Linked DNA regions of Rattus norvegicus. The protein of the gene in region 3 interacts with the protein of the main gene of each other region in a biochemical or structural test. Links are inferred from orthologs where the notes say so. Each region holds a gene or a part of one and is shown on either strand. Other genes may lie near its edges.

Evidence for each region.
Region 1: the proteins of Vegfa (region 3) and Sparc form a complex in vitro, tested with the Homo sapiens proteins (2 studies listed by BioGRID, with this or other methods). The link is inferred for Rattus norvegicus from reciprocal best matches to the Homo sapiens genes VEGFA and SPARC.
Region 2: the proteins of Vegfa (region 3) and Nrp1 form a complex in vitro, tested with the Homo sapiens proteins (8 studies listed by BioGRID, with this or other methods). The link is inferred for Rattus norvegicus from reciprocal best matches to the Homo sapiens genes VEGFA and NRP1.

Annotation. Positions count from the first base shown.
Region 1 is NC_086028.1:40,032,675-40,042,901, forward strand, and holds the start of Sparc (SPARC precursor), read right to left. Parts: upstream 6,143-10,227; 5' UTR 6,105-6,142; intron 1-6,104.
Region 2 is NC_086037.1:73,252,222-73,262,540, reverse strand, and holds the start of Nrp1 (neuropilin-1 precursor), read right to left. Parts: upstream 5,985-10,319; 5' UTR 5,907-5,984; intron 4,678-5,906; exon of another isoform or gene 4,538-4,677; intron 4,312-4,537; exon of another isoform or gene 4,170-4,311; 5' UTR 3,708-4,169; coding exon 3,635-3,707; intron 30-3,634; coding exon 1-29. UniProt on the Homo sapiens protein: Cell-surface receptor involved in the development of the cardiovascular system, in angiogenesis, in the formation of certain neuronal circuits and in organogenesis outside the nervous system. Mediates the chemorepulsant activity of semaphorins.
Region 3 is NC_086027.1:22,449,237-22,459,611, reverse strand, and holds the start of Vegfa (vascular endothelial growth factor A), read right to left. Parts: upstream 6,759-10,375; 5' UTR 6,282-6,758; coding exon 5,679-6,281; intron 2,789-5,678; coding exon 2,740-2,788; intron 1-2,739.

The DNA.
Region 1 (10,227 bases), on a different chromosome or scaffold from region 3:
CCTGCCTCCACCTCCCAAATGCTGGGACGACAGGCTTGAATCACCATACCCAGCTCTCTTGTGTTTGGTTGGTTTGGGTGAGGTGGAGTCATTTTTCTTTTTGAGACAAGGTCTCACTATGTAGCTAAAACTGGCCTCAAATATGTGATCTTCCAGTCTCTGCATCCTGAACGCTAGGCACCACCAGGTGAGACCACAGGGGGTGACTGACTGAGCCTTGAAATGCTGCCAGTGTGAAGGACTTATTGAGAAAGCCTGCTCCGAAAAGCCGTGTCCTCCAAAGCCCAGGCCTTGGCACATGTTGAACTGTGTCTATGAGCAGAATTAAAACAAACAACAACAAAAGCAAAAAACAGGGATTGAAGGGAGAGCTCGGTTGATAAAGTGCTTGCTAGGCAAGCATGAGGACATGAGTTCAAATCCCCAGTGCTCATATAAAACCAATCGTGGTGGCACAAGCTTGTAACTCCAGCACTGGAGAAAGGCAGAAACAGAGGGATCCTCTGATCCCGCTGAATCAGCAAGATACAGACCCATGAAAACAAAGTGGACATAGCCTGAGGAGCAACCGCTGAGGCTGACCTCTGGCTTACACACGCACAGAGAGAGAGAGAGAGAGAGAGAGAGAGAGAGAGAGAGAGAGAGAGAGAGCGCAGAATAACAGGAATTGGGAACACAGCATACTCCAACATCACAAGCCACCTTGCAAAAATTCTAGGTTCCCCCTAGAACAGCCAGACACCCTTGGGCAAGGAAGCCCCTCAGATCCCTTGACTGTTCTGAACTCCTGAGCTCGCTCAGCAGATCTTGGAGTATCCCATTTCCCTATTTGCTCCAGATTGCTTGTTTTTATTTCTGTTTCTTGTTGGAAGAGACGAAGCTACGGTAAGTGGTTAGTGTCACTGACGCTAAAACCTAGAATTGGTTCTGGGCAGCTCAGAGGCGGATCCAGGCTTTGTGGCTGGACACAGCCCTGCTGAAATTCCAGTGTCTCCCAAACTGCCACGTTTCACTTTGTCTGGACCAGGCTGGAAGAGTTCCTGCTGCCTCCGCACCCTCTAGACCATGTGACTGGGTCCTGCTGGCAGACCAGGCTGAGTTTTCAACCCTCTCTAGAACGAATAAAGGCAGAAGGAAGGGACTCAATGTACAGCCATCCCTATTGCATCAGGGGTGACCACTAATGGAAGATAAGAGACATGAAAGTATCCAAGATGTAACATCTGGAAAGGACTAAGGGATTCCAAAGGTGGCAGAAACATAGCATACCAACCTTCCCACACCCCTCCTGTGTATGTGGCAGACATTACTAATCAATTATATAATCTTTCCCCTCAAGGTCTGAAGTGACATCAGAATTTTGAACACCATTAGGACAGCCACTACTAGAGGCTTGCCATTGTGGGCCACATGATAGTTCTTTCCCACGCCTGTACCTTAGACAAAGAACTCACAGCTTAGAGAGGAAAATAGCTCACTCAAATTCCTCGGGCAAGGTGGTTTCTGAGCCAAACATTCAGAAATATCTAAACTTTTACTTTGATCCCCCCCCCCCACTGAGATCTGAATTCCTAATGTCACAAGCAGCACAGGATGATCCAGAGAGATCCTATAACCCGGGACTTTAAATGAAGTTCCTGGAAGGACCGAGCTGCTATCTCTGTTCATGGATTCCTACCAGATATCTATGACTAGGCAGGTGAAAGCGGAGCTGATTTGCTGCCCAACACACCCCTGGCCAAGGCGGAGGCTGTTTCTCTAAAAGCTTCAGATAAGCCACCATTTGCTGGCCCTGGGCCTGTGCAACCCAGGTGTCCAGGAGTCAGGAGCAAGGCTGGGAGGGATCAGGATCCACCCTACAATATAGGGGAAAGGTAGCTTCCTCCATCTCCAGAGAGGTCTAGAAATTGGTGCCAGCCTCCTCTTCTGTCGGTTTAAATCGGAGACTAGAGGAGGAGCCAGTGGAAAGCTACCGAGAAACTACTTATAAGCCACGTTTGTTGGGTCTTGGGCCTAATGAACCAAGGGACCCATGTATTATGAATGATTTAGGACCTACAGGAACAAGGTCAACTCCAACCTGACAAGGTTCCAAAGATCTGGAGGCTGGGTACAGACACCAGCCTGCTGTATAATCTCCAGTGAGCTACCTTCTCTTTCTGAATTTCAACTTTTGTATCTTGGAAATAAAGGCACCCGTGTGCCTGTGTTGGGGTGCTGTTGGGGGAGGCAGGCTTGTGTGTGTGTGTGTGTGTGTGTGTGTGTGTGAGAGAGAGAGAGAGAGAGAGAGAGAGAGAGAGAGAGGGAGGGGAGAGAAAGAGAGGAGAGAGAGAGGGTCAGAGGTGTCTTCATTGACCAATAGTCTATTCAATAGTTTATGTGTTTGCATCCTTGACGGCTCGTCTGTATAGATGACATATGACCTGACTTCGTATCTGTTAATAGGTGAAGATTGAGGTTTTCATACTCACAAGATGTATCTGGAGGAAGGGCATGGCGACTGAAGAAATGACTCAGCCATTAGGGGTGCTTACTGCCCTATCAAAGACCCCCACATTCAGCTTCAAGCACCCATGTCGGGCAGCTCACAGTCACCTGTATGTAACTCTAAATCAACAAACTTAGACGCCCCCTCCTGACCTCTGAAGGCACCCACATGCGTTGTGCTTACGTATATTCACGTAAATACAAACTTTTTGTTGTTTTCTTTTTTTGAAACAGGGTTTCTCTGGGTAACCCTGGCTATGCTGGAACTCACTCTATAGACCAGGCTGGTCTCAAACTCACAGAGATCTGCCTGCCTCTGCTGGGATTAAAAGTGGGTGCCACCACCACTCGGCTCAAACTTTTAAAAAACATATTGCTAAAATATTTTTTAAGATATACTTAAAGATTCTCCCTCTGTGTGGTGAAGAATGTGAGGGGGTGGCCACATCCTGCCTTTATTTTTAGCCACACTGGTGGTGAAATCAGGGTCTACATGTTTAAACTCTGTGCCCCATGTGTTCATGTTTGCCTGTTTATCTCCCCAGACTCATCCGCCAACCTAAAAGGCTTCGTGTCCTCTGCTATTTAAAGCTCATTATTTTTAACATGGAAAACTGCAGCTGGAAATAGCAAGCCCAGCTGTGCATCAGGCTGCAGAGCCCACAGCTGGATGAGGATCTGCCCAGAGTTAGAGCCTCCCCAGCCTTCTTCCTGGAACCTTCTTCCTGTTTCCTCTCCTAACTCAGGAAAGGAGGCTGCTGCTAAACATACAGGATGCTGCTCCTTCCAAGGAAACCAGGGTCTGGGAATGGGTTCAGGGAACCTCTAGCTCAGATCATCCCCACCTGACAGATTGGGAGACTGAGGCTAAGGCAGATAACATCTTTTCCAATGTCACCACTGAGCTGTAATTCATGCTTTTGACCAATACCCGCCACCCTTCCGTTCTTTTTTCCCATTTCTGTGTGGGGTGTGTGTGTGTGTGTGTGTGTGTGTGTGTGTGTGTGTGTGTAAGCCAGAAGTCAGTGTCTTCTTTGGTTGTTCTTTACCCTTTCTTTTTGTCTTTTTGTTGTTGTTGTTTGTTCGTTTGCTGGGTTTTGTTGTTGTTGTTTTGAGACAGGATTTTTCTATGAAACCCTCAGTAGCCTGGAACTCACTTACGTAGACCAGGCTGACCCTCTCCACCTCCCAGAGATCACCCTGCCTCTCCCTCCTAAGTGCTGAGATTAAAGGCGAGTGCCACTAAGCCTGTCTACCTTATATTCTGAGACAGGGTCTCTCACTAACCTGAAGCTGGGTCAGCTAGGCCGGCTGACCTGTGAGCTCTATAGACTGGCCTGTCTCTCTGCCTTCGTAGCCTTTTTAGATTGTAGATTACAGACAGGCATCCCCACACCCTGCTCCCTAGGTCAGGGGTAAGCTAAAGACTTAGGAGTCCTCAGGCTGATGTAGCAAGCCCTTCCCACTGAGTCCTGGTTCCAACCTTGATCACCAGTCTTTGTTTAGGGGAGGATGCATTGCTCTTGGGAAATTGACAGGAAGATCCTCGAGTTGAAATAAATGTAAACCATGTATGCTTAAAAATATTCCTGTCACCACTTTTTCTAAGAAGATGTTCTCTGGACCCCAAATGTTGGAGCTGCCAGAAAAGGGACTTTGAATAATCCCCTTTGTGTTAAAAATCAGTTGCTTTAGAAGGGAGTGAGGTTGCAAAGGGCTTCCCAGCTTACGCTTTAGCTGGTTTCATCCTGCACCTTCTCCAAGGGACTGCTGCTATTACTAGAAATAGGGAAGAAACCAGAGCTCAGGAAGACAGTTCAAGGTCAAATGACACCTTCTAAGCACAGATCCAAACCCTCTGTCTTGCGAAGGGCAGTTCTAGAGAGGCTTATCGCAATCTGGGGACCCAGGGACGTGGGAGGTGGAAACAGGGCAGGAGTTTGCTGTTGTCTTCGTAACTGGGGCGGGGGTGGGGTGGGGTGAGGGCAGCCGTGGCAGTGGCTGGGGGGACTGGACCCTAGAGGTCCCTGAGCGTTCCCAGAGTCCCCTCCCAGCCAGTAGGCACAGACCCTAAGGGGAAAAAAAGAGGTTGCCGTGGCAACTCGCATTCCTCTCGGAGTGAGTCACCAGGGAGAAGAGACTCTTGGTGGGTGGGGCTTGGAGAAAGTTTCAAAAGCTGACTCCTTCTCAGAGCCACCCCCACCCCCTCCCCCTCCGCCTGTGCGGCTCTGTCGATGTGGCAGCTGATGGCTGAGTTAGCGAGAGTTAACTCTTCCCTCAACCACTTCTTTCTGGTTCAATCCTTGGAAAATACAAATTTGTTTCCATACCCTTGCAACCATTCTCGGGGGTCGGGGGGAAGGGTCTGACCTCTGTTTGGGAATATCTTAAACCTAAAAGCTGTGGACACTCATTATCTCTTACACACACACACACACACACACACACACACACACACACACACACACACACACACAGACATGCACGCACACTTTCGTACACACTACTTCGAGAGACTCTTTGAAGCTTATGCACAGACCACTTTATAAGCACAATTAAGTGACCTTGCTTGGGAAGTCTTAGGGCAATTCAGGTATCCCCAAAACTATCCCTCTTCCTTAGGACAGGGGAGATGCCTATGTGAGATCGCCCACAAACTGCCGAAAGCTTGTTACCCCGTGTATGGTCTGCGCCTCACGCCACTCCCTGCACTCTGTTCTAGAAACTTAAAAGAGTGGCTGGTGGAGACATTTCCTCCCCTGCAGGTATGTTGTCTGTCTCTGAGGCAGATGCAGGATGCCTATTCCTTATTTTGGCCATCCTAGGTGTCATACACAGGAAGTTTACAGAACGACTTGGGGCAGACAAGCTTTCAACAGACTGATCTGAGTCTTGGGGTAGGTTCAGTAGTGGCGTGAAAGGTGTCCTGGAGCTAAATCACCCTGTCTCCCTCCTCCCTGTCATCTCTGGATTGTATCAAACTGTTAGTTTTCTCAGATGTCTAGATACAGTAAAAGCAATGTTAGTGAGGTCCTGTGATGACCATCTCTCAGAATTAGGGTGGGAACAATGGCAACCGCAGGCTGGGAGAGAGAATGGCATTTCAGGCTGACCGTCCCCACAGGGTGATGGGGTGGGGTGGACGGGAGATTCCCGGGACCTGAGCCCTCCCAGAGGAACTGATTAAAGGGAGTGCCTTGCCTTGGCTGTTTACAGATCTGTTTATCCTTCTTGCAAAGTCCCATTTGGACAACAGTGCTCTGACCCAGAACTGGATGTCTGTTCTCCTAGAATAGGGAGCCAGACCCAGCAGGCTGCCAGCCAGACTTTCTCTGGGTTGGCAGTTGTGATAGGCAAGTGAGGATCAGATTCTCAGAGAAGGAGGCAGCTGCCACCGAGGGTGACAGAGGACAGACCAGCAGCCTCTGCCACCAGAGAACAGAGAAAGCGGTCCTCGAAAACCGTGGATATTTTCTGTAGCGCTACAGAGATAACAAGTTCCCCTGTGCCTGAGCAACAGGCTTCTAGCTCACCTCCCCCTGAGGTTGGTTGTGGGGATGGGGCAGAGGGGCTGAGGAAGCTTACAGAAGGGCAGGGGCTAGCAGGGAGGTGCATACCTCGGCACAGGCAGGCAGGCAGTTGGGCAGGCAGCAGAAGAGTTCTGGCGGTCTGAAGGGCTGCAGGAATGTGGAGGGGTTTAGAGGCAAGCAGCAGGAAGCCACTTGGAGCTCTGGGCAGGGTCTGTCTCACCCTCCGCCTCCACTCAAAGGCCCTCCTCCTCTGTCTCCTCCTTCCCCTGGCCTGCCTCCCCCTTCTCCCCAGAACCAAAGCTGTCTTTTCTTCCTTGCTTGCCTTGTGGTAGGCTGTGTGCTAACCAGACACCCTGGCCCCACCTGCCTCATCTGTTCTGGGGCTCCTGCCTAAACAGACATGAGGGTCAGGGCTGGAACAGTTGCAGGAATCACCTAGAACAGGACAGGCCTTGTTCAGAGCGGAGGCTGAGGACTGAAGAGTCCTGGGCATTACCCGAGAGCCAGCCGCAGAGGCACAGCCAAGCCCCTTGTCCTACTTTAGACACAGCTAGTGAACTTGACTGAGCCCTCTCTCAGGCTTCATGACGTGGAGAAGGGCAGAGTGATTCTAGTGTACACTGGCATGGCAGTAGGGGGCTGTGACCAAAACAAGTACCCAATTTTCCCCGTGCCACCAAAACAAACTACCACTGGTGATACTGGTGGCATCGTCCTCATCGATAATAAGGCGAGGTCCTTTTGAACTCTAGGGGCACCAACCATAGATAAGGGAGGGATTAGAACTTAGCCGGGAGACCTGCATCGTCAGCACCTGACAAACTCAGAGAGTAAAAGACTGATAGTCAGGTCAGAAACAATAACCAGAGTTGGTGGGGAGGACATTGTTGGCACAGCAGGCCTTTGGTTTTGGACAAAGTCCCATGTAGTCCAGGCTGACCACTCACTATGTAGGTGAGGATGGCCTTGAATTTCTGATCTCCCTACCTCTGTTTCCTGGGTTCTAGGATTACATGTGTGCAGTACCTACCATGACTAGTTTATATAGTGCTGGGGATTGAACTTGAGAGTCAATGCTCGCTAAGCAAGCAGGCTACCCATGCTGCTGCATTCCCAGCCTGACTTACATACTAGTAAGAGACCATTCTAGATTTATTTATTTTATTTATATGAGTGTACTGTCTGACACACAAGAAGAGGACATTGGACCCCATTACAGATGGTTGTGAGCCACCATGTGGTTGCTGGGAATTGAACTCAGGACCTCTGGAAGAGCAGTCAGTGCTCTTAACCACTGAGCCATCTCTCCAGCCCCAAGAGACCATTTTAATAACAAGGGCACAGGCTCATACAGGGCAAACAGCTCGCCAATAACACCTGACCAAAAGTAGTCTGAGAACGCTGAGGCTACATTTCAGCCCCGCTCTTCTTTTGGGAACATGGACTGCCCCCACTCCGTGCAGCAACTCTTGACTGAACACTTTGTGCCTGCCTCCTTGGGGAGGTACCAGAATGGATGTGGCAGGAGCTTTGGGTGTGGCTCAAGGGATGTACCTCATGCACAGAACCACTTCCCCAGTGATGCAGACCCCAAGGCTTCTCCCAGAGGGTCAGAGCAGCAGAGCCTTCCTGAAAGTGGAGCTATCGAAGCAGCCATTGGGTTTGGATAATGTGGAATTGGAGAAGGCAGAGTGCAGTCTAGAGATAAACTTGTATACAGCAGGGTCCCTGCCTTTCCTGCCATCTCCTCATTTTCCCTCCTGACCCACTCTCTCCAGCCAAGGCAGCTTGCTCTCAGTCCATCAGGTACCCCATGGCCATCCATGTTCTTAGATCCTCACTTTTCCTCTGCCAGACACTTTCCCATATGATTTTCCTGAGCTCAGACCTTTCTCATCTTTCAGAACTCGATTCTAATGTCACCTCTTACATAGGCACTCATGGTCCACTCAACGCCTAAGTCTCCTTGCCTCTCTCACAGGAGGTGGATACCCTCAACGTCATTTCCCGCCCTCCCTCCCACACCTGCCACCATCTCGCACCATGCCTTCTCTTGACAGCAGCCATGGAAAATGGGGGCTTCATGATCTGAAGGTATTTAGTTAATTTTGTTTTGTTTTTAATCAGTGAGTGGCCTTCCACTATCCCACCTGAAGAAAACATGAGGGACTCTTATCTTAGGGTTCTAGCCTAGGACAGAACCCTTCAGAGCTCCTCAGTACCTTGGCATCTTTCTTTCTTTCTTTCTTTCTTTCTTTCTTTCTTTCTTTCTTTCTTTCTTTCTTCCTTCCTTCCTTCCTTCCTTCCTCTCTCTCTCTCTCTCTCTCTCTCTCTCTCTCTCTCTCTTTCTTTCTTTCTTTCTTTCTTTTATGAATACAAATGCTTTATTTAACAGTTGCAGGTTATTCCACGGGCTAAGTAGTGGAAATCCAGGACCCAGCAACAAGGTCAACGCAACCTCTGAACTTCTCTTTCTGATTCCAACAGGGTGAGCACATCACCCTCTCGAACAGGGCCTTTGCCGTTTCAGATGATAGAGTGGCTGGTGTCATCCATAAATTCCACTCGCATCTGCGTGCACTGTCCCTGAAAACTGGTCCTGCCCAGCACTTTGGTAACCCTAGCCAGCTTGATGGGCTGCACTCGACTCGTGTCCATGATGGCAGCGATCTGGCGGAGAGATGGCATTTTTCTACAGAGAAGAGTTATGGCTTCCTTCAGGTTCTCTCTCCAAAGGGCCTGTGAAGAATCCTAAGGAAACTTTCGGACCTATATAAGACCCCTGAGTCTTCTCCTTGATCCAACATTCAGGAGCTTCAGGCCACCAAATTTAGGGTTCCAATAGGTTCCCTAGATCTGCTCTGCTCATAGGACAGATGCCTATTTTCATAGGATTGATTGCTATAGCTCTGGGCACCAAGGAGACTAAAATTAACTGCAGCCTTGTGTCTCAGTTGGGTAACCTAAGCAAAAAGAACTATACTTAGTATAGACTGGATTATACCAATGTTAGACCAAAGATAGACCCAGTTAGCCTTGAGGATAAGAGTTGGAAACCTGTTTAGAGCCAGGGGTTGGGGCGTACGTAGTTTGTAGGAATGCTTCTCAAGGTCTCAGGGGAGGACAGAGAACTAAAATCTCATGGACCAGCCACATGGCTCAGCAGGATAAGGTGCTCATCACCAAGCATGAAAACCTGAGTCTATCCCAAAGCCCACACAGAGGAAGGAAAGAACCTACACCAGCAAGGTGTTCTCTAGCCCCCTCTCATCCACTGTGGTGTTCTCACCCCACACCCTGCCACAAACACATAAACAAATAAGAAAGAAAAAAAGAGAGTGTTCGAATTCCCCAGAGGGTTTGAATTCAGCATTAAAGCATGCCAAAAACTGCAGAAGTCCTACAGCAGGACTGGCCCTGATCAAGACAAGGGACAGAGTAGTAGGCTGGGTCTCCTGCCTCACCCAGGGAGTCACGGGGAGGGAAGGAAGCATGGGAAGCCTAGTTGGGCTCCCCGTCTGCCACTGAATCTCCAATAACATTAACACCTCAAAAACCCTTTAATCTACCAAGCAAATTTGTGCTCTTTCCTAGCCCTGTCTGAACTATCTATTTTTTCATTTGGGAACCGGAAAAGGCAGTTGAATTTCTCAAATACATGCTTCGGACCAAGCAATGAATCAAGTTGTTTTGCACAGATTTTCTGGTGACCTTTACTAAATGGGAACTCTGTGTGTGTGTGTGTGTGTGTGTGTGTGTGTGTGTGTGTGTGTGTGTTGTAGAGGCCAGAAAAAAGTGTTAGATTCACCTAGAGATAGAATTACCAGTGCTTGTAAGCTTCCCAACATGGGTGCTAGGAATCAAACTTGGGTCCTTTGCAAAATCAGCAAGCACTCTTAACTAAGGAGCCAATTCTCCAAACCCTTTAACCTGTTTTTCATCTTGCAAAATGACAAGCCATGGTCCTGAGGTCCTTGCCGTTGGACCACATCCCTCCCGCTCCCTCTGTCTTGCTGCAGTTACGTTCTTCTAAGGCCCCTGCATATGGCTTCCAGCTCCCCATGCCTATTTTAGGCAATGCTGAGGACTGAAACCAGGGCTTCCTGAAAGCTATGTGAGCCTCTTGCCTAGTGAGCTACATCCCTAACCTGCTTTCCTCTGCCGTCTACGTGCTCACTCCCTACCTCTACTTCTGTCTCAGGTTCTTTGG
Region 2 (10,319 bases), on a different chromosome or scaffold from region 3:
TTCAATTTTTATAGTCCCGCCACATTTATCTGCAACAAAAATGACATTTTAGCAGATCTCTTCCCTTACAAACAGTTGCGTCTTCTAGCTTTTACATGTGCATTGACAATTAGCAGACATTCTGTCAGTTAAGGGAACTCCACAGTGAAGTGTCCCCTGCAAACCCTCCATGTGACCCTAGACACGAAGAACTCCATACCACCAAGCATCCCTCTTTAATCTGCAGGGGCATGACTTCCACAGAAAGCATACTGAGATCTGAGATGCGTTTCCCTCCCACCCAAAGTCCCCTCCAAAGAAAGAGGTCTTCCAGCATTAAAAACATTAAATCCCCTCAATTGATGTTAACACAGCCCCCTGGGAGCTCCTGCTAGACTTAATTATCTTCCAAGACCTGTAATCATGTTAGGGAACAGCTCTAGGTGGGAGGCGCCTAAGAGATGCCACTCATTGCAAGTGGCTTTTTGATGATAAGCCTGGTCAGTGTCATTGACCAGTGGGGACCGTCTCCCAGGACTTCGATTGGCCTGAAGCCTAACCTCCTTTTGTTGTTGTTTTATCTGCCTGTAAATCTAAGTGATTTTGAGTTATCTCCGCTTTTGAGACTCAGATCAACAGAGAACAAAGTGCAGCTGGTGATGCAGAAAGAACTCGGCTTCACTTATCCAAGTTGCTCAGCCTTGGAGACCAGATCAAAGCAATGGGGCAGAAAGAAAAATAAAGAGCCACACAGCATTAATTCTAACTACTAAATGTTAGGGGAAGCCCCGGCCACTGAGGTCTAGGTATCACAGATGGTGAGCTACATTTTCACATCCCGGGAAGAAGAGGCTCTCTAGTTTTTAGGCTTTACTGGAAAATAAACCACTACCACACCACGACAAGAACTCAAATGCGGAAGTGATTCTCTAATAGCTAAATAAACCAGACTCTGGGCTGGTTTACAATTCAGCATAGCTCGCTACTGTCACTCTCTATGGGTCTCACACAGGAGAGCCACAGCCTGCAAATGCCACCCCATTTATTGATGCTTAATTTTAGGCAATAAAAATTTGGTGCATAAACTATGTAAGAAGTACAGGTACGAAACACTGAAATATATAAGCCTATCAATCACAAACATCCAGTAATGGTATATATAGATTTTAATATTACATCTAATAGATTCCCTGTGGAAAGAGAATGGCATTCTTTGCTCTCAGCATGAATTTATAAATCTACGGAATTTTATTACAGGAAAACCAGGTCAAATGGAAATGAAAGATGAAGTGCATATCAAAAATGCATAAAGCTACATGCATTACAGAAGTCATTTCCCATAAATTAAAAAGAAGACAATATAAATTATGTTGTTTTCTCCAATTGCTAGATGTTTCTGGCTGTTTCTTAGATTGGAGGGGGTTGGTCCTACACATTCTCTTCCCATTGGCTTTTTAAAAGCTTTAGGTCTTCAGGAAGAACTGATGCTGCAACCAATGTTCAGAATCGCAGCTAATGATGTTAGCCAGCTCGGTGGTGTGATTCTGCGGAGGCTCTGGCATTATTTTATTTTGTACAGAAATCTTGGAGAATGACACCCCCCCCCCCCAGCTCATTAAGTCACTCCAGTTCTGTGTAGCCACCATGGCATCTGTTAGGAGAGTGAAATAAAACAGTCGACAGATAGTCACTTCAGAAGACAGTGAGGTGGGGTTGGTACCACACCAGAGCACTTTAATCTGTGACTTCTGAGAAAGTGACAGTGTAATAAGATAATGTGGACTGCTGGACTCCCACATTCTGTTCAGTCTCTCTAACACTTGATTAGGAGAGAGCGATTCCTAATGACTGTGGACCATTAGTCCTAAATAAGGTTAATGAATTAATTTAGTAGACACTTACTGGGAGGAGGTGGATATGGTTTTAAGAGGACTACAGGCTTACTGAGGCATGTGTTGGCCCTGGTCACCTCAAGCATAGCAATAGGGTTTCAGTTGAGTGGAGTCCAGATTCCCAGCATTCCCCACATTTCTGCTAAGAAAATTAAAAAGTGTGTGTGTGTGTGTGTGTGTGTGTGTGTGTGTGTGTGGTGTGTGCTGTCAGAACTACACAAGTCTTAATACTCTTCACCTTGGCTATCACGACCATCTTCTGGGTACCCCAACATGGCTCTAACCCAGTGTTGTTCTCAATCTGTGAGTTGCTACCCCTTTGAGAGAACTCTTTCTCCAAAAACATTTACATGACAATTCATAACAGTAGCAAAACTACAGTTATGAAGTAGCAACAAAAATAATTTTATGTTTGGGGAGTCACCACAACATGAAGAACTATATTAAAGGATTGCAGCCTTAGGAAAGTTGAGGACCACCACTCCGTCCTTAGGCATTATGAAGGCTAACCATTTGAGGTCTAAGCATTTGAGTTCTTTTGCTTAGAGGAAATAGACATTTCAACCCCTGCCAGACTACAGAAGCACTCCACCAACTCAGGTTCATTAACAAATTGAACTCCACATTCATGATTTTTTTGAGTATTTGGCTTCCCTTCCAGAGTATATAGGAAGATGCCGCCAACTCGAATTCATTAATAAATTGAATTCCAGCCGTGTTCACAAAAATATTTGCATATCTTTTGAGAACACTGCTTGGTACCTGTTGGGGGAGATCTATAGTTGAAATCACAAAAAAAAAAAAAAAAAAAAAAAACCAGGGAAAACACATTAAGGAGATTAACTTCTATCATAAAAGAGTGATTTAAATTCTTCCTGGTAGAGCCCCTCCGCTCGGCTCTTATTAAAACAATATACCACAATAAGTAGTAGGTGCACTTTTTTCCTAATTACTTTGATCGAAATCTAAGCCAGACAAAGTAAACATTTAGCTATTAGTTAATATATAAAGCTAAAGATCTACTGTTCCGATCAGCCCTTGCCTAGCCTTCAGCACCTTTCCAGGAGACGCGGAACACATTCGTACCAGATCCCATTTTAAACACACTCTTTAGGTTCCAGGGTACTGTTTATACCCAGGATTGCCTTTCATTTACTTAACAGTGAGTGGTTTTAAAAGCCAACTGGAGACTGCAACAGGGGTTACGGATTCTCAGATACGCTGGTGCCTCGCACTGAATAGATCCAAAGCCTTTATTGACAGTGCGACTTTCATTCATACTTCAGACTGATCACAGACGGTTTACAAAGGCGGCAGAGAGAGTTCTAGCGCCAAGACTGACCGCTATCTCTTGGTGTGGCCCACCAGAGGAAACTGAGCAGGGATGTTTCGAGGAGAACCAGGAAGTCCTCCCGATGAAGTGTTCATTAACTCTCAGCAGCCATCAGATTTTTGAAAGGGAGTCTCATTTAATTGCCTCTGGGAGGAAACATTATTAAGATAATTGGTGTGCTGATCTGGGAAGGTAGGCAGCTCTGCCTCGAAACAGAGGCAAGAGAAGCCAGCAACCAACTGGAGCAGGGGGCGGAGGGCTTGTGGTCCTCCTGCCCCAGACACCCTGACTTCTCTGTTCCTTGCACAGGCAAGTTTCCTGCGTCCGGCAGTCGTGCGCGCGTCCCGTGGCTGGGGCTGGAACCCCCTCGCCCGAGGGAACCCGGCAGCCCCGGGCACTCCGGTCGCTCCCGCCTCCGGCTGTCACTTACCGCTGCGGAAAGCGCCCGCCAGGGCGAGGGCAAGGGCGAGCGTGGCGCACAGCAACGGCAGCCCCCTCTCCATCCTCCTTCGCCGAGCCAGTCCCCAGGCAGCCGCGGGAGAGCACGATTGAGGGAGGAAAACCCAGCAAACGGGAATCTTAACAATCCGAAACAACGCTCTTAAGTCCGCTTAAGAACCATAAAATCCTCAGCCGGTCTTGGCGGGGAAGGCTAGCGGCGAGGCAATGCCTGAATTCGCGAGAAGCGCGTCTCTTTTTGTGTCTCAAGTCGCCTGCATCCTGTCATTTAGCTCCGATTTCCTCTCCCTTTTCCCACACTTGTTCCTCTTCCAGGAGCCACTGCCCGGGCCATGTCTCAGGAAGAAGAAGAAGGAGGAAAAAAAGAGGGGAGGAGTTGCGAGGAGGAGGGGAGAGGGCGGGCGACACACCAAAGCCAATTTCTAGAGGGAAAGAAAAAAAAAATCCCGCTTGATTCTGGACGGGTTGGAGCCGAGGAGCTGGCGCCCAGAGGAGGTCCGGGTTGTCTGCGGGAAGGAGAGAGAGCAATGAAAAGATGAGCGGGAGAGCGAGGACTTTCTCCACTGGCACCCGCCTCTCTCTCCGACCTCCCCCTCCCTCCCAGATCCCTTCCCTCGCTTCCTCCCGCCCCCTCCCCGCACAGCTCTGCCAGTGATTGCCTGGCTGGAGATTCGGAGACACAAGTTTCTCTCTGCACGCTTTCTCCTTCGGTCCTTTGGGCTCCCCCCTCCACCCCACCTCCGGGCACCCTGCTGTGCTCTCCGCGGGAAGAAGGTCATTGGGGAGCCAGTAGTCTGTGCCCATAGCGCAAGGACACGTGTGTGTCAGGAGGGGCAATGCTAGTGGTACCAGCCCCAGTGATCAGCTAGTCTACCTTGGCGAGATCTCTGCACCCCAGGACTGAGCTAGGCTGAGGATCCCGGAGCCCAGGAGTTCTGAGAGCCCGGGGTTAGCTGCTACTTCAAGGAACTCCAAATCCCTAGTCACCCGCGCCCCAGGTGGTGTGGATCACGCGTCAGTCCTTGCTTTCACTTCCTGGGTGCCAGCCTGAGGTTTGGGGCGGGAAGCAGCCAGGCACTCCAGAATGCTGCGAGTAAGACTGTTGACCAGAAGAAGAAGGCTGTTCTGGGAGACGCGCTACTAGAGAACTGCGACCGTGCCTCTGCCACGTAAAACATAGGCAGACCTTCTTGGAGCACGGAGCCTGGCTGCAGCCGAACAAGACCACCTCGCCGTGCATAAAGGCGAGGCTGGGTACCCGACCCCCCATCTCCACCCCTGACGCTGCAGGCTGCATTGTTCCCCGAGATTTGGTGCCCTCTCCTTTGGGGTTACATGAGCCAGGAGGATGGATGGTGGCGCGCCTTTCAGCTAGGGGGCAGCCGCCAACAGACACAGAGCAGCCACGTAGAACTCCAAGAATCTGAATCAGGGGTCCAAGGTTCTAAGGGTGGAGGGGCCCATTTCTGTGCACCCTGAAGGAAGGACAAGACTGGCAAGGACCCCTCATGAGGGTGACAGGATGATCTTTGCAAGGGTCTCGTAGTGCCAGGTTTAGATTACAGGCAATTGTGTCTACTGGTCCTCCAGCCTCACCCGCCACCCACAGAAGAGGTGCGTCCCAGTCCCCCGCGTCTGCCCAGTGCTTCCCCTCCCCCACGTCGTCCGGTTCCATCCTCCAGGGCATTCCGAGAACTGCAGCAGGTGGTGTTTGGCTTATGAATAGCAAGGACACCCAGGGACTTAAACTGGTTGAGGCCTCTGATCAAGTACGAGTATAAGAGACTCTATGCCCTCGGAAAGAGCTGGTGGATAAGGTGAAAAGGTCATACGCCTTCTGGGAGGTGGCATTTATAGACACACTACCACCACAGAGACTAACTCCTACCTGGTGCAAGGGCTGGCAAAGATTTAGGATTGCTGGCAAGGAGACTCTGGTCAAAGGTTTTGGCTGAAAAATTAGGGTCAGTCAGGGAGAAAGGACACCCGGGGACACTGGTGCCCCAGGCCAGGAATCTGCGTTGGGTGTCTGGACTGGGCGCTGAACTGAAGCTTGTGCATTGCGCGGATCTCCAGCCTGGGCTCCGGCGCAGGACCCACTGGCTCCAGAGTCCAGCCTTCTTTTCGGCCCTGGTTACCGAGCCCGCCTCCAACGCAGCCTCTCCCTCCCTGCCCCACCGCAAAGCCACCCCCTTGTGTAGAGAGCCAGCCCTGGAGCGCCTCCGTTAGTCGCCACTAGCTACCTCTTTGGTTCTCTGACCCTTATGGAAGACCGGGTGGGTTGGGCGTGCCAGAAGGCTGGGAGTCAAACGCCTGAGTCGAGCGGAAGGGGCAGTCGCGAGGCCGTTGGCCCTCTGCAGGCAAGGTCTAGGCGATAGCCGCGCCCAGGGCAAAGCTGAGGTGGGAGGAACAAGAGTGGTGGCGGGGTGGGGAAGCTGGGGGTGGAGGGGAGCTGGCAATCTGCCACAGGGAGCGCGTGTCCCTACCTCCCTACGCCAGGCATCGGGCGCATCCTTGCCAATTCCAACTGTGCTGGGCAAGCCTCAGACTCAGGGTGACCCGGAGCCACCTTAGCCCTGGAGTCCAAGAGACCGGTGTCTCGGAGGACTTGGCGAGTCGACATAAAAGGGAAATCAGGCCAAAACTGTGGAGATCCAGATCCTTGTCTTTTTCGGAAGAGGAATCCCAATGCCCGGCTCGCTCGCCCAGGTGAAGCTGTTATTTAATCAATCTGCCCTGGGTCGGATTGAGCTAAGGGGTACAGGTGAGACACTTAAGTGATCAGCTGGTGCTCCCTGTGAAAGCCAGTTCCTCAAACCCAGAGACAAGGGGGAGAAAGGGCTTTGAAGCTTGGGGTACCAGTGAAGGACTCCTGTTTTTCTGGCTCAGTCCCTAAGTTCTCTTGACAGCTTTTCTCTAACTGGTAAGGCATGCCTTCTGTGTACTTTAGGGGAGACATACTTAAAACTCTCTCTCTCTGATTTTCCAGGACTAGGCTTATCTGAGGCTTCCCTAGATTCCTTTTTTTTCCACAGTGGGTGCTGCGAAATGGAACCCAGCCGCCCTAATTAGTAATTGTCAGCTCATGCCATTGGTATATTGCTAACCATTCTGGTTAACAGCCTTTTCCTGTGCCGTAAGATTCCATCAAGAAGAGATAGGCCGTTTAAGATACCTGCAACTCTCCACCCAGGGAGACAGACTGGCTTTATAGGAGAGCAAGTGTGAGACAGAGGAAGAATTTGGCAGTATTCCTAGTTTGATTTTATTTTGGTCTCGTGCACACATTCCTCCTCTTGATATCACAGATCTGCCTAGGAGACAGGGCCTGCTTCCACCTTCAGGTGATTTATCTATCTGCTGCCCTAACCGTGCTGGATAGAGGATGTCTGTGGTCAGTACCACCTCAGGGACTGCTGAGGATGCAACCTGTTTGAGCATGGCCAGTATGAACTAGCTGGGTGGAAACACCCTGCTCCTTTCACCGAACCACATCAATTTGTTAGAAATAAGAGGAGAGTCATTGCTCCCAGAAGGCCTTTGGAGCCACCTATTTCTGAAGGGCACAAATGGGGATGGGTACAACACGGGGATCCCAGTTAGCTCAAAACCAAATCAAGTGCATTCGAGATGACGATGACGCATTGCGTTGTTTTTAAAACACAATCTACAGCTATAGAAAAACAATCGAAAGAATTCTTGGGAGCTAACCAACATCTGACATGGAAGGAGAGAACTGTGGAAAGAATAAGAAACTACAATTTACAACCACACGCAGTGGTCTGGAGTCGTGATCCCAGCACTCTGGAACAGGAGGCAAGAGGATCAGGATTCTGAGGTTAGAGTGAGTTGGAGGTCAGTCTGTGCTACCTGAGGCACTATCTTCTCAAAATAAAAAACATAAAAACAAAACAAAACAAACAAACAAAAAAAAACCCCTTTGGGTCAGAAGAAATGGCATTGTGGTGAAGGGAAGGTTCTGCTCTTTCAAGATCAATTCCCAGTGCCTATACTAGGTAACTCAAGACCACCTATATCTACAATTCCCAGGGATCCAATATCCTCTTCTAAACCCTGCAGGCACTTCCATTCCCATGCATATACCCAGCCATATGTACACACAATTAAAATAATTTAAGTTTTTTTTAAAGATTTATTTATTTATATGTAAGTACATTGTTGCTGTCCTCAGACACACCAGAAGAGGGCATCAGATCTCATTACAGATGGTTGTAAGCCATCACGTGGTTGTTGGGAATTGAACTCAGGACCTCTGGAAGAGCAGTCGGTGCTCTTAACCACTGAGCCATCTCTCCAGCCCAATTTAAAAGTTTTTAAAAGAGACAATTCCCTTACAATGACACGTTTATGAAACGGCAGTCATGCAACAGTTGTCTCTTGGGCTTCTGCCATAGCTATAGCATAGAATTTGTAGTGACAGAAGAGAATAAATAATCTTTAGTTTCGTTTTCTTTTTTAATGTTAGTTTTTATTACTTTTAATCATGTGTATGTATGTGTCTGCATGTGGTATGTATATGTGAGTGCAGGTGGTCACAGACCATAGATGTCAGATGCCCTGGAGCTGGAATTACAGATGGTTGTTAGCTGTCCAATGTGGATGCTCAGGGCTGAACCTAGGTCCTCTGGAAGAACAGCAAGTTCACTTAACCTTAGTTAGTTAACTCTCTAGCCCTAGTTTCTGTTTCTCTAAGTAACAGAGAAATAGATGTTTTCTAAAACTTGCAGGAAAAGGTTTCAAAGCAAAGTTTTTTTGTTTTTTTTTTTGTGATCTGAATATTCTCTGACATAGGTGGACAGTGCTAAATTCTGAGTCATGCTGGTGGAGTCACAGCCTTTGGGGTTAGATTTTGAAAACTGAAACAGTAACCATCAATTAATCTGCCTTCCATGAACCACTTCTTGGGGGCAGGGATTGAGATTGAGACACTGAGTAATTTGCCAACATACTGGGATCACAAATTTCGAACTACGCTACCTGGCTGAATTCTCTCTAAATTAGGAAAATAAAAACAACAGACAGAAACACTCAGCAAGCAAAATTAAAAGTATCACTAGAGAGAATGAACTCAAAATTTCCAAGGTGCAGAGGATCGGTTACTTAAAGTCACATAATTCCATGCAACTAAAGAATAAAAAGTTTAAGGAATGCTGAAAGATCGACAAAAATCATTATTAAAACAGTCAAAGGCTCAAAACAGGGCTGCTGATGTATCTCAGTTGATAGAATGTTTTCCTAGCATGCAAGCTAGATTCAATTCCAGCAGCACACAAAAACCAGGCAGAGCCAGGCCTACCTGCAATCCTGGCACTCTGGACGTAAAAGCTAGAAGATCCAGAGTTCAAGGTCATCCTTGGTTAAGGGAGTTTGAAGTCAGCTTGGACTACATGAGATGCTGTCTAAAAGAAAAAGAAGGAAAGCCTCAAAACATAGTTAATAATTGTTTAATTTATCCCAGAATAACTTAATTTAAAAAAATTCCACCACTCTGGCAGTTGCATGAAGAGTGGGTGGTCGTAAAGTCAGGGAAGAAGATGAGTTTTGACATACTGTTCGGAACACACAGTGGGAAGAAAGGGGAAGCAGGGAGTTTATGCAGTTTGAGAGTGAAGCTAACTGGACAGGCAGGTTGCTATGGCAACAAAGGAGCAGGTGTTGTCAAGAATGACCCAGCAGGACTCAATCCTCCATAACGATAGGGGTCTTAGTGGCCACACAGGCTTGGACACTGAAGAAGGCTGTCTTGGAAGAAAGTTGGACTTTGACTAGTTTCCATTTCTGCCCCTTTGAGGCAGTCAGATGAATTTGTAATCCAAACCAATACTTGGCTTTGAGGTGATGAGTGTATGGGTCACTGACGTGTAGTTGGTGGCAGTGAAGTGGCAGGAAAGATGACATTGTGAGGGGACATAAAAGGAAGCCATAGGCAGAATTTTTACAAATCTGTATTTCAGATCATGGGGGCCAGGGAATGCATGCTTGTTTGTTCCCCGTATTTGAGGGGAAGGGGGAGGTTCTCACTGGCATAGAGCTGACTGATTAGCTTAGGCTGGCTGGTCAATGAGTTGCAGGGATACCAATGTGTAGATCATGCTGATCAGAGAGAACACTATTGTCCTGGCTCCTTTGATGATTTTATAAGTTCACATTTGGGACTAGGAATACATGATGTATCCAACATTTTCCCTGAACACTGAACTGGTTTTCATAAAACTCACAATTTGCTTAATTCATGATGTATAGTAGTACAGAATTGTATTATTTCAAAATTCATGACTCAAGGATTCTCAATAAATGTCTTTTGATAAAACAATTTTAATGCCATTATTTACAACAAATAAAAAAATAAATGTATCTGATGATATCCATGGAATATCCTTTCCCCACAGCCATATAGACCTTCAATAATAATAACGTCTTTCGTCCCTATACCTACATTCTCTTCTTTGTTCCTTACACTCTTAAGCACTGCTCAAAGGGAATTTAAGGTGTTAACCTTTACATGAGCACACACAGCTTTGTTTGGGTGACTCGGTGAAACAACCAGAGCATGTGCTTCCTCAGTCCTGGGAAGTCTCCATTCAGCAGCATCATGAGCCATTTTTCACAGATAAGTGTGACTTTTAAAAACTGTC
Region 3 (10,375 bases):
AGCTTTGAAAGACCACTCCTCTCAGCTTCTGTATCAGGTAAGCGCTTCTAAAACCAGCAAACTGAAGCCCCTCCCTCATTTCCAGGTCCGGGTCCGGGGGAGGTGGCCTGCCACACCCGACTCCATTCCTCATTGTAACAGCAAGTTCCTACCGACTGTGGCACCAGAACAGCCTGAGCATGGGTGCCCTGATTTCTGCTTTCCTCTCTGAGCTATGACCATACCGCAACCAGGCCAACAGCCACTCAAACACATACTGGACACTGAGGACAGCTATGGATATGCGTACTCTTCCCCAGGTTACCCCTAAGCACGACAAGGAGCCCATTTATAAATGGGGACCTGGAGGCTCAAAGAAACGCCACCATTTGTCCCAAAGGCCACTTGGCAGGTAAGACGCAATTAGAACGAGCTGTGACGGCAAAGCCTTCTGATACCTACATCCTGCGCAAACACAGACGCTTCAAGAGGCACCCGCCAGTCCCCCTTCCCCGGACTTCTGCCTGAGACAAATCAGCAGGTGGCAGTGGGCAGGCACACAATGTAGGTCCTGCCAGCACTAAGAACCCCGCCCAAGAGGGCAAACTGTTTGCATCATGGAAAGAACAGGATCTGCCTCTGTACCAGGCATTTCTAGAAGCCGACCTGGAGGAAGACAGGGGAGAGACCTTTTCCCAGGCAGAGTTATGAGGTACAAGAGATCAGGAAGAGGCACTTGAGGGCCAAGGGGCGGGCACTAGACTTCTCTGGGACACCAAATGGTGGCTCGGCCTGCCACTTCTGGTCATACCCCTAAGGCTACCCCACAGAAGCCAGTCCCTGAAGTGAGAGAAGGAACACAAGCTCACACAGGCCCAAGTTCTACTAGCAGTCAGTATGACCTTGGGCCTGTCCCTCCAGTCTCTGGGCCTTTCTCTGGAAGCAGGTTGGCCTGACCTCTAAGGACACTTAAGGGAGCAGGAAGGTGGTGGTGCTGACCCTTTGCTAGCCCTCAAAACAACTCTTCTTTTCTCATTCCGGGTGACAACGTTTGGAATGTCACCAAAGGCATTTTAAGTGCACGCTCCAGAGACTACACACCCTCACCCTCCCAAACCTGGGGCCACAGCCAAACCTCCCTTTACTCTTCAAAGTTTTTTTTATTTTTCCCAGAAAGTTAAAGAAGAGGGGACCCAGGTTTAGGGTAGGTTGGCAAGAAATGGGGGCACGGAAGAAAAGGTGGAACAATGCCACAGATGTCAAACAGGAAAAGGGGTGGCGGTAACCTAAGCTGCCACCCCTGGGCTTTGCTCAAGGGCTCTCTTTTCTATCTGGACAAGCAAAGAATTCTTGTCTGGCCCCAAAGAGTTAACATAAAACACAGCCAAAAAAGAGTTCATGAGATCAGATCTGAAAAATTCTTTTCAAGGAAAGTCTATATTGAAGATGACTAACCCAGAATTTTAAAAAAAAACAAAAAAACAAAAAACTAACCCTTCATCTTGGCTGAGCCAGAGGTGGCTCAGGCTACTTAGAGGCCCCACACAGGAGCAAGCAGCAGAGAGATGTGACCGAGGAATGAATGGAGGTGGGAGCTTGGTGTACAAAGACCTAAGATGCGAATCCTTTCCAAAAACTTCTTAGAGTCCCCGAGGTCCATAGGAGGTGGAGGAAGTGACTTGGCCAGTACCCATGGGAGCCTGGCCCCTGCCCCCAAGGCAGTGCTGCCGCTTCGGGCGTGTGCACACATACACTCCGGCATCGGGCTTTCGTGGTTTTCCTTATTTATGGCAGACAAGCTCTTCTCCATCAAACAAAGACCGTTTGTCTTGCCTCTCCCAGACCACAGAGCCCACTAGGAAGCAGAAGGGGGTGGGTAGCACTTTGGAAGTAGGGGCCTGTCAGTGGCCGGGGCCAGAGAGTGGCAGAAAGCCAGGCCTTGGGCCAGAGAAAGGGCTCCAAGAGGGGAGGAGGCAAAACCGGCTGGACATCACCAGCCTTCCTTGGCTGCTGGCTCCTGCAGCCACAGTGGATTTGGGTCAGGGAAATAAGCCTGGAGGAAGACCCCAGGGCCTTCCCTACTCTGAGGAAGGACACTGGGGGAGTGGCATCCGGCTGGAGCAGAGGCCACACTCAGTGCTGGGGAGAGCCAGGGCGTCCCCAGAGAGATGGGAGGATCCCGGTACTCCAAACCACACTGGAACAAAAGGCAGGCGGACTCAGGGTTGGGCAGGGGGGCGGGGCGCCTGAGAGCTATAGCCGGCCCTCTGCTGGTCCTGCAGGGAAGCTCACAGCACCCAAACGCAGTCTATGGAAGCTGTTACACTCAGAGAAATGCAAAGCCAGGACTCAGGAGTCCTATTAGGATACCCTTCTATCCTGTCCCCAGCCTCACACAGAAAGGGTCACAGCCCCCACGGGTAGCTGTGGGTATGTAGCAAGGGCACTGAACATGTCTCTTCCCCTGGGAGAAGCGGGTACAAGAGACACCTCCCAGAACATCTGGAAACCTCGAGCACTGCCTTCCTCTTCGCCTGTGCTCACCGCAAGCTTTCCAGATAAGATGTCACTGGAAAAGCTATTAGAAAAAGCAACAAGTCCTGTTTCTAGCAGAAAGCCCAACAGGAGACACCTTAAGAAACACAAGGGTTAAGCTCAAAAGTACCGGTGCAATCTCGACCCTCATATTCCTGCGCCCCACCCCCCATCTGAGAAAGAGGAATGGGACAACAGGGACCCATTACAAGCATGAGGACTCACCTTCATGGGCTTTCTGCTCCCCTTCTGTCGTGGGTGCAGCCTGGGACCACTGAGGACAAAACAAAGAGTAAAGAGCGTTGTCAGGGACAGGGCCAGCCACAGGAGTCCCAGGCCTGACACCACTGAATCCCTAGATTTCTTTTTGCCTCCTCTCCCAACCCCCAGCTCCCACCCTCCCCAAGTCTTCTGAGTCACACGGGGAACAGTAGGGGTCCTGTGGGCCCAGAGCATACCCACTACTCCGGATGGCTTCAATTCTGAGCCCGTGAAAGTTAAAGACTAACCAGGTGTGAGGGAGCTCACAATGTAGGAGGAAAATACCAGAATCCTGCTTGACCCAGGCCCCCAGCCCCGTCCTGTTCTTGTCCTGTCCCTTTTCCCATTGCCCTCGATTCCCTGGTCCCAAGCCATGGGTAAGCATTAAGGTCAAATAGGACAAATTTGGACTGGGGCAGGAAGGAAAGACTGGGGGCGAGAAAAACAACGTGGTGACCTTCTCCTGCTGACATGACAAATACCAGGGTTAGCTCGAGTCGAAGAGAGATGCAGAGGACAGAAGGGCACCAACTACCCTCCCCCATCTGAACTCTTCCCAGGCCTGGGGAATAGTCAGCATACCCACAGGTTGCTCAAGGGGTGAAAAGCTGGGAGGAAGCTCCTAAGGAAGGGAGAGTCCCATTCTCCTCCCACCCCAGGTCCCAGGTCTGCCCAGGTCCCGATTGCAGCTTCCAAAGCCTGGCTAGCCTCCCACTCCCACATCCCGGAGCCTCTCACCTGGGCAGGGCACTTTGCTTAAATGTACCCAGGGAAGCTTTCTCCTCAGTTCTGCCAGGGGGTCCTTTGCCCCACCCTGAGCCCTCCAACCTTCCTCATCCCCACCAGTTCCTCTCTCCCCTCCCCAGAACCTCTGAAGGTCACCAAGAAGGCCCTGTGGCCCTGACGTGGCAAGCAAGCCAAGGCTCCTGGCCTTCCTGAGGGTCTCCTGTTGCTACAACTCCCCATCCACCTGCTTCACACCAACCTGGACCTCCAACTGCCCCAGAGGGACAGACTCCCACCCTTGGTCTGTCTCTGTCTCTTTTTCCTAAGAGCAATCCATCCAGGGCCCTCAGCCTTGCCACCAGGGCCAAGGTCAGAGGTGGCCCTTCTCAAGACATAGCCTCCCACTGCAGCTGCCCCAGGTTGGTCCTGGATTCTGCACTTCATCAGGCCCTCAAATACCCCCTCAATAGCCTCATGACATTCTCCTTCCTCCTCTGTCTAGACCCCAGTGGAGAAAGGAAACAGAAACTTTGAACCCCTTCCCAGATGGGGAGGTTCTAGGCAGGGACTGGCCAGGTGTCCTTCTCTGGGGGCCTCTGAAGGTCACACTGTGGCCAAGCACTCCTGCCCTCCTCCCCACATGAAGGCCCAGAACCAAGGCCTTTGTGCCAGGGTCTGGGGACCTCTGGATGGTGGCAGGGACACCTGCCCTTCTCCTTCCTTCTGCCTCCTTTCCAAGAAGGCTCTATAGCTGAGAATTAGAGGAAACGAGCATCAAAGGACCCTTTAGTAGGCAAATTGGGTGGGTAAGTTCAGAGTTAAACCACCTGCTCTCTGGGCATCAGGCTTTGCCAGGACAAAGTGTGTGTGAGATACTGACAAGGGATCCTGTCAAAGGAGTAGGAAAGGGCTGGTTCCAGGCTGCCCCTGTCTTAGCAAATATCAAGTCATGTTTCCAAAACGGGGGAAATAGGGTGATGTCAGTCCACCCTTCGTTGACCGCCCCCCCCCCAAAAAAAAGGTGAAACACAGCTAACTGGAGCTGCTAGGAGGAGAGGGAAGCACACCTTCACCAACTCAAAACTTAGGTCAGCGTTTCCACAAAGAACCCGAGGGTGGGCCCCAACACCCCCACGTCTGACAGTCACCGTCCTTTTCCTGGGCCCTGGGGCCAGGAAGGGTCCGATGAGTCTTCGCAAGGAAAAGGAAAATATAAAAGGGTGGGAAGGGCTTTTCTGCACACCAGGCAGGAAATGGGGGAAAGGGGGAAGGGGCGTCGGGTAATTCTGCCTAGAGCAAGGCACGGGTAGAAGTTGGGAACGGAGGAAAGGGGTATGGGAGTTTCTCCCGGTCCCGGAGCTGGGGATACCTCCAGAGGTCACCTTCCTCGCGGAGGGCCGGTGGGGGAGGGGCGCCGCTTGTCGCCCGGGTCTCCGGGCTCCAGCAGCCGCGGCTCCGGGAACACGAGGCCGGCCAGGCCCGGGCTGATGTAATCGGCTCTGCGCCGCGCGCGCCCGGCCAGGCGGGGGAGGGCGGGCACCGCGCGGGACGCGAGCGGGGACGGGAGGGGGTGGCGCGGCGCAGGTGGCCCAACAAGCTAGAGGGGTGGGAGAGGGTCCCCGCAGTAATCCATCCTAAAACTTTCCCCAAACTCACTGCAAAGGCCGAAGAGACCGAATGGCAGTGACAGCAAAGCCCCCTCGGTCGCCGGCGCCCTGCCCCCTCCACGATCTCTGCCCTCCCCCGGTCCAAGGTCCGAGCACCCCCAGGCATGCCCGCTGGGCTCCGGACTCCCGCCCCCTCTGCCCGGACTTCCAGTTCTCCCGGGACCCGCGACCCAGAGCAAACTTCTGCCGCCAGCTCGGGCGCAAGCCCAGCCCCCTCAGCCTCCTCCTCTGGCTCCCGCCCTCCGCTGCTCGGCCCAGATCGTACGTGCGGTGACTCTGGTGGGTGGGCAGGGCCCGCGTGGGCGGCGAGACTATCCTGGCGCCCTCCCACCTAGCGCGCACCCCCTCCCCCTCCACGTACGACGACAGAGGGGGACGCCTCGCGCCCGGTGCCCAAGGACCCGCGTGGGGCACGAAGCCCCCCACGCGCGCGCTCGCACGCACGCACGTCCCCAAGCGGGAGAGGCGCTCGCCATGGCCCGGCGACACCAGGCGGGCACGACCGCTTACCTTGGCATGGTGGAGGTACAGCAGTAAAGCCAGGGTCCAGTGCACCCAAGAGAGCAGAAAGTTCATGGTTTCAGAGGCCCGTCCGGGGCCGGCGCGGCTCGCGCTCCCTCTCCGGCTCGGACTGCGAGGCAGCCCGCTCTCTTGCGCGCCTTGGCGGGCTCCTCTCCCTTCTGGAACCGAGGCCCGGGCCGGGGCCTGGGGCGCGCGCGCGGCTGGAGCACTGTCTGCGCACACCGCCGCCTCACCCGTCCATGAGCCCGGCTCCCGAGAGCCGAGCGCCCACTGCGGCCCCCTCTCCTCTTCCTTCTCTTTCTCCCCTCTCTTCTCGGGCCCCGGCTTCTCCAGGCCCGAGCTAGCACTTCTCCCAGCTCCGATCGGTTTGCCTCCTGCGGCGCAGACCACGGCTACTCCGGAGAGAGAAGAGCCCAGAAGTTGGACGAAAAGTTTCCGTGCAATCCCGCGAGCCCCGACCCCCTCCACCCCGCCTCCGGGCGCGGGCTTCGGCTCCTGCTCGCGGCTCGCCGCCGCGTCCACCGTCGGCTGCCCGCCGGCGAGGAGGTGGGCGCTGGGGCTGGGGGCGGTGTCTGTCTGTCTGTCCGTCAGCGCGACTGGTCCGATGAAAGATCCCAAGGGGGAGGGCTCACGCCGCGCTCTGGCGGTCACCCCCAAAAGCAGGTCAGTCACTTTGCCCCTGTCCCTCTCTCTGTTCGCTCGCCAGCGCGCTCTCTGACCGGTCTCTCTCTCTCTCTCTCTTCCTTGACTTCTCTCTGGAGCTCCTGCTACCTCTTTCCTCTGCTGATTTCCAAAATCCGAAGTAATTTGAGGGAGTGAAGGAGCAACCTCTCCAAACCGTTGGCACGATTTAAGAGGGGAATAGGAAGCAAAAATAAATTAAAGCGTAAAACAATACAGTTTAAGAAAAAAAAAAGAGGTTTGAATATCAAATCCCAGAGCACAGACTCCCTGGCTGATGAGTCCGTTGAATAGTCTGCCTTGTCGCTGCGTCTCGCGACAGAGCTCCGCTGCCGCCGCTCAGCTCGCCCCCAGCGCCGCGGCCTCGCTGCAGCTCGGCTGCCCCAAGCCTCTGCGCTTCTCACCGGTAACAGCGGTGGAAAAAAAAGGAAATCTGGCCCCGCCCCCAAAGGCCCCGCCCCAGGCCCGCCCCGGGGGCGAGGCCAGGCCGAACCAGGCACCGCCTTTCAGAAGCCCCTAGGCCACTACTGCGAAATAGAAATCTAAACCCCTTACCAGGGTCCATAGCCTGAGAATTATCTGTCCACCCCTTCAAACTTGGCTCGGGGACACACTGGGAATCCCAGGGTGTTGGGAATCAGGGGAGACAGGAGAGTGAGGGCAATTTCCTTTCCCAGGAATGTAGGAGAAAGTGGGGGGGGGGGGAGGCGGAGAGCTGGCAAGGACGTATGGGGAGACGGACACCCGGAGTGACCCCTGGTCTTCTCCCCTACCTCACAAACACACTATACCCAGACACACACGCACATGCACGCACGCACTCACATTGACACACGCGTCCTTCCTCACGCAGACTCGGCTCGCCCAAGTTCACGATCTCCCCGTGATGGCCGAGCGCCCCCTAGTGACTACATTATGCACACCCCAACTCTGGCTCAAATGGCACGGGTCTTGGACAGGGGGTGAGAGTTGACTGTTGAGCACCGCAGGCTTTGACTTCCCAAATAGTTGCGTGTTTCTAACACCCACCCCCCAACAGTTGCTTGTTTGACCTCGGAAACAGAAACTCTAGGATTATATATGGGGCGGGGGGCTACGTGGAAGGCAAGTATGCTTATCTGAGCTCTTGTCTGATCTTCATACATAAGGAACTAGGGCCCTGGGGTGAATGGGATTCCCTGGGAAGTTTCCAGAGAGGCTTCTCTGGAGAGGATATGGCATCAAATGTGTGACACTGAGAACGGGAAGCCGAGCAGTTAGTCAGTGGCCCGGAGGGAGACGACCTGTGGAAGCCCACGTATGCACTGTGGAGTCTGGCAGAGCCCTGAGGGAGAGACAGCTGGGCAGACAGAAGCCCTTGTTCCTCCTGATCACACCCCCCACACACAAACACCCAGATGTTGCCAGGGAACTAAGGCCAGTGTGCCAATGGGGGCAGAAGCAGGCCAGGCCTGCGTGGTGATTCAAACCTACCCTAGCATTCAGAAACGTAGTTAGGCCAGCTGCCCAGCGCTGCCACCAACTCCGGGTAGGATGGGAGTAGAGGTAAGGCTCCCTCAGTTCTAGCCTAGGCTCACAGTTCATCTTCTAAACAGAGTTCAGGGTTGTACTCTGCCCCCTCCCATTCTACCTAGGACCCTTGGCCATTTCTCTATGCTTGTACACTTAGCCTGTGTGGCTCTGTCCCCTCCCTTTCCACAAAGTCCCCTTCACCTCCTCGTGTCTTCCTTAAGAGCTCCCCAAAGCCCCCACCTCCAGCCCACCCTTGGATATAGGAACCAGCCTGGAAAAATTCCTGGTTGGGCTTTGGCCCAGCTGCTCCTAGGCTCCCCTGGGAACAAGAGGGGGCTCTGATACCTGTGGGAAGAGAGGGACCAACCAGTCCCAGCCCTCACCCAGGTCTGCTGAGCTTCTGAGAAAGGGAGCCAACAGTCTTCCTACTGGTCCCCCGAAAAGGTTACTCCACCATCTCCATCCCTCTGCACACAGTACTGAGGCTCCGTGGGATGCTGGTACCTGTTGGGAACCCCAATTTCAATGGAGCAATGTTATGAGGATCTTATGAGGAAAAAAGCCACCCCATCCCATCTGGCCTATCATAGCTGCCCTGAGTCACCTCCCGGATGGCTCTCTTTTAGCAGGGAGAGTAGTTAGTAAATGCTTACGGGCCCAGAGCCCTCCCATGGGTTTCCTCACCTGATCTATAATCTATGCAGCTAAGAGGCACTGGAAAGGAAAGCTACCAAATGCCTGTCCTTAACATCCCAAGAGCACCAGATGTAGCGCCGTGTCAGGGAGCCCCTGTCCCTCATCACGGTATAACAGAGGCTGTGGACACGTAAGGCTCCCAATGCTCTACTCTTCAGTCACTCTCATCTCTACCTTCTACAGCAGTGGTTCTCAGCCCCCCAACACTTTCACAGGGGTCGCATATCAAATACCCTGCATATCAGTTATTTACAGAAGAGGGACTCAGTAAAGGATCCCGAGGTTTGGAGGAAAACGAAGAAGCTTTGAGGAGGGGAAGGGTTAGTTAGCTACCTATAACTTCATGGCTTTAGCTTCCTCCTATCCCAAGACAGCCGTGATATCTATATGTATATGTGTAGTATATGTGTAGTATACATATAGTATATGTATAGTGTATTATACATGTAGCATATGTATGTATAAGGCGTGATACCACCATATAAGGTTCCCAGAGGAGTCCGAACAATGACACTTCAGATTTCCCTTTCCAAAGCACCAAAGCTATGCTAAGATTGGGGCTTGGCCTGAAGGGTTTTGAGAAACCCGTATCAGGGTAGGGACGGGCTGCCTATGTCCACCGTGCGTTTTAGAGACACAATCTGAAGCTGAGTCAGAGGAATGGTCACTTCTGGATTCCATTCAAGCCGCACATCGCCTCCAACACACATTTCACAACGATGAAGTCGTAAGCGTCACGCTTAGACTGTCACTAAGTGAAACCTCGGGGTATCTAGAAAGAAGGGGGAAAGAGACAAGTCAAGGGTCACGCTATTCCTGCTCTTCCTGGGGGGCTCACTTCCCAGCATGCACTTCATCCCAGAATAGATTCCATTCATCTTCTCTCCCCCAGGTCACTGCCGGACAGGGGACATCAGACTGTAATGGGCCTGGCAGAAAGGAAAGTATTCTAAAGAGATGCTTATGTTTCTCAATCTGTCGGTCTATTTAAACAGTGTACCCCCAAAGAGATGGGGATTTCACCTGTCGATCTCATGCTGGCTATGAGACTAACCAGGACGGATCTTGGCCTAGCATCGTGGGATAATGGGGAACCATCCACTAGGTGGTTAATCAGTGACATCTTACTTTTCAGAGACAGGGAGGAAATTGTCAGGACTGAAATGAAGTCAGGAATGCTCACCTGTAACCCTAACACTCAGGAGGTTCATGAAGCAAGGACAGCCTAGGCTTCTTTTTTTTTTTTTTTTTTTTTTTTTGTTCTTTTTTTTCGGAGCTGGGGACCGAACCCAGGGCCTTGCGCTTCCTAGGTAAGCGCTCTACCACTGAGCTAAATCCCCAGCCCCCAGCCTAGGCTTCTTGTTGAGACCCTTTCTCAAACTGGTGACATGGGGCAGCTCGTATCAGCCCTTCCAAAAGTAAAGGCCAAAAATTGATCCTTCCTCCTCCTCTTCCTCTTCATCTTCTTCATTTTCTTTTCTTTCTTTTCTTCCTTCCTTCCTTCCTTCCTTTCTTTCTTTCTTTCTTTTTTTTCCTTCTGAGACAGGGTTTCTGCCTTGAAGAATTTCCGGGGACAGACTAATAATATACCAAAGGCAAGATGAGGAAAGGTCTTTCAGCATTACCCAGCAAAGCAGATATGTTGGCTGGCCCAAAGTGCTTCCTGCATTTATTGGCACGGGGGTCATGGACTCCCAAGCAGTGGCTACATTCATCAGGCCACTCTGATTTGGGCAGGACCCTGGTTTTCCTCAGTGTGGAAGAGGCTTCCTGTCTACATGTAAGCAAAAGACTAA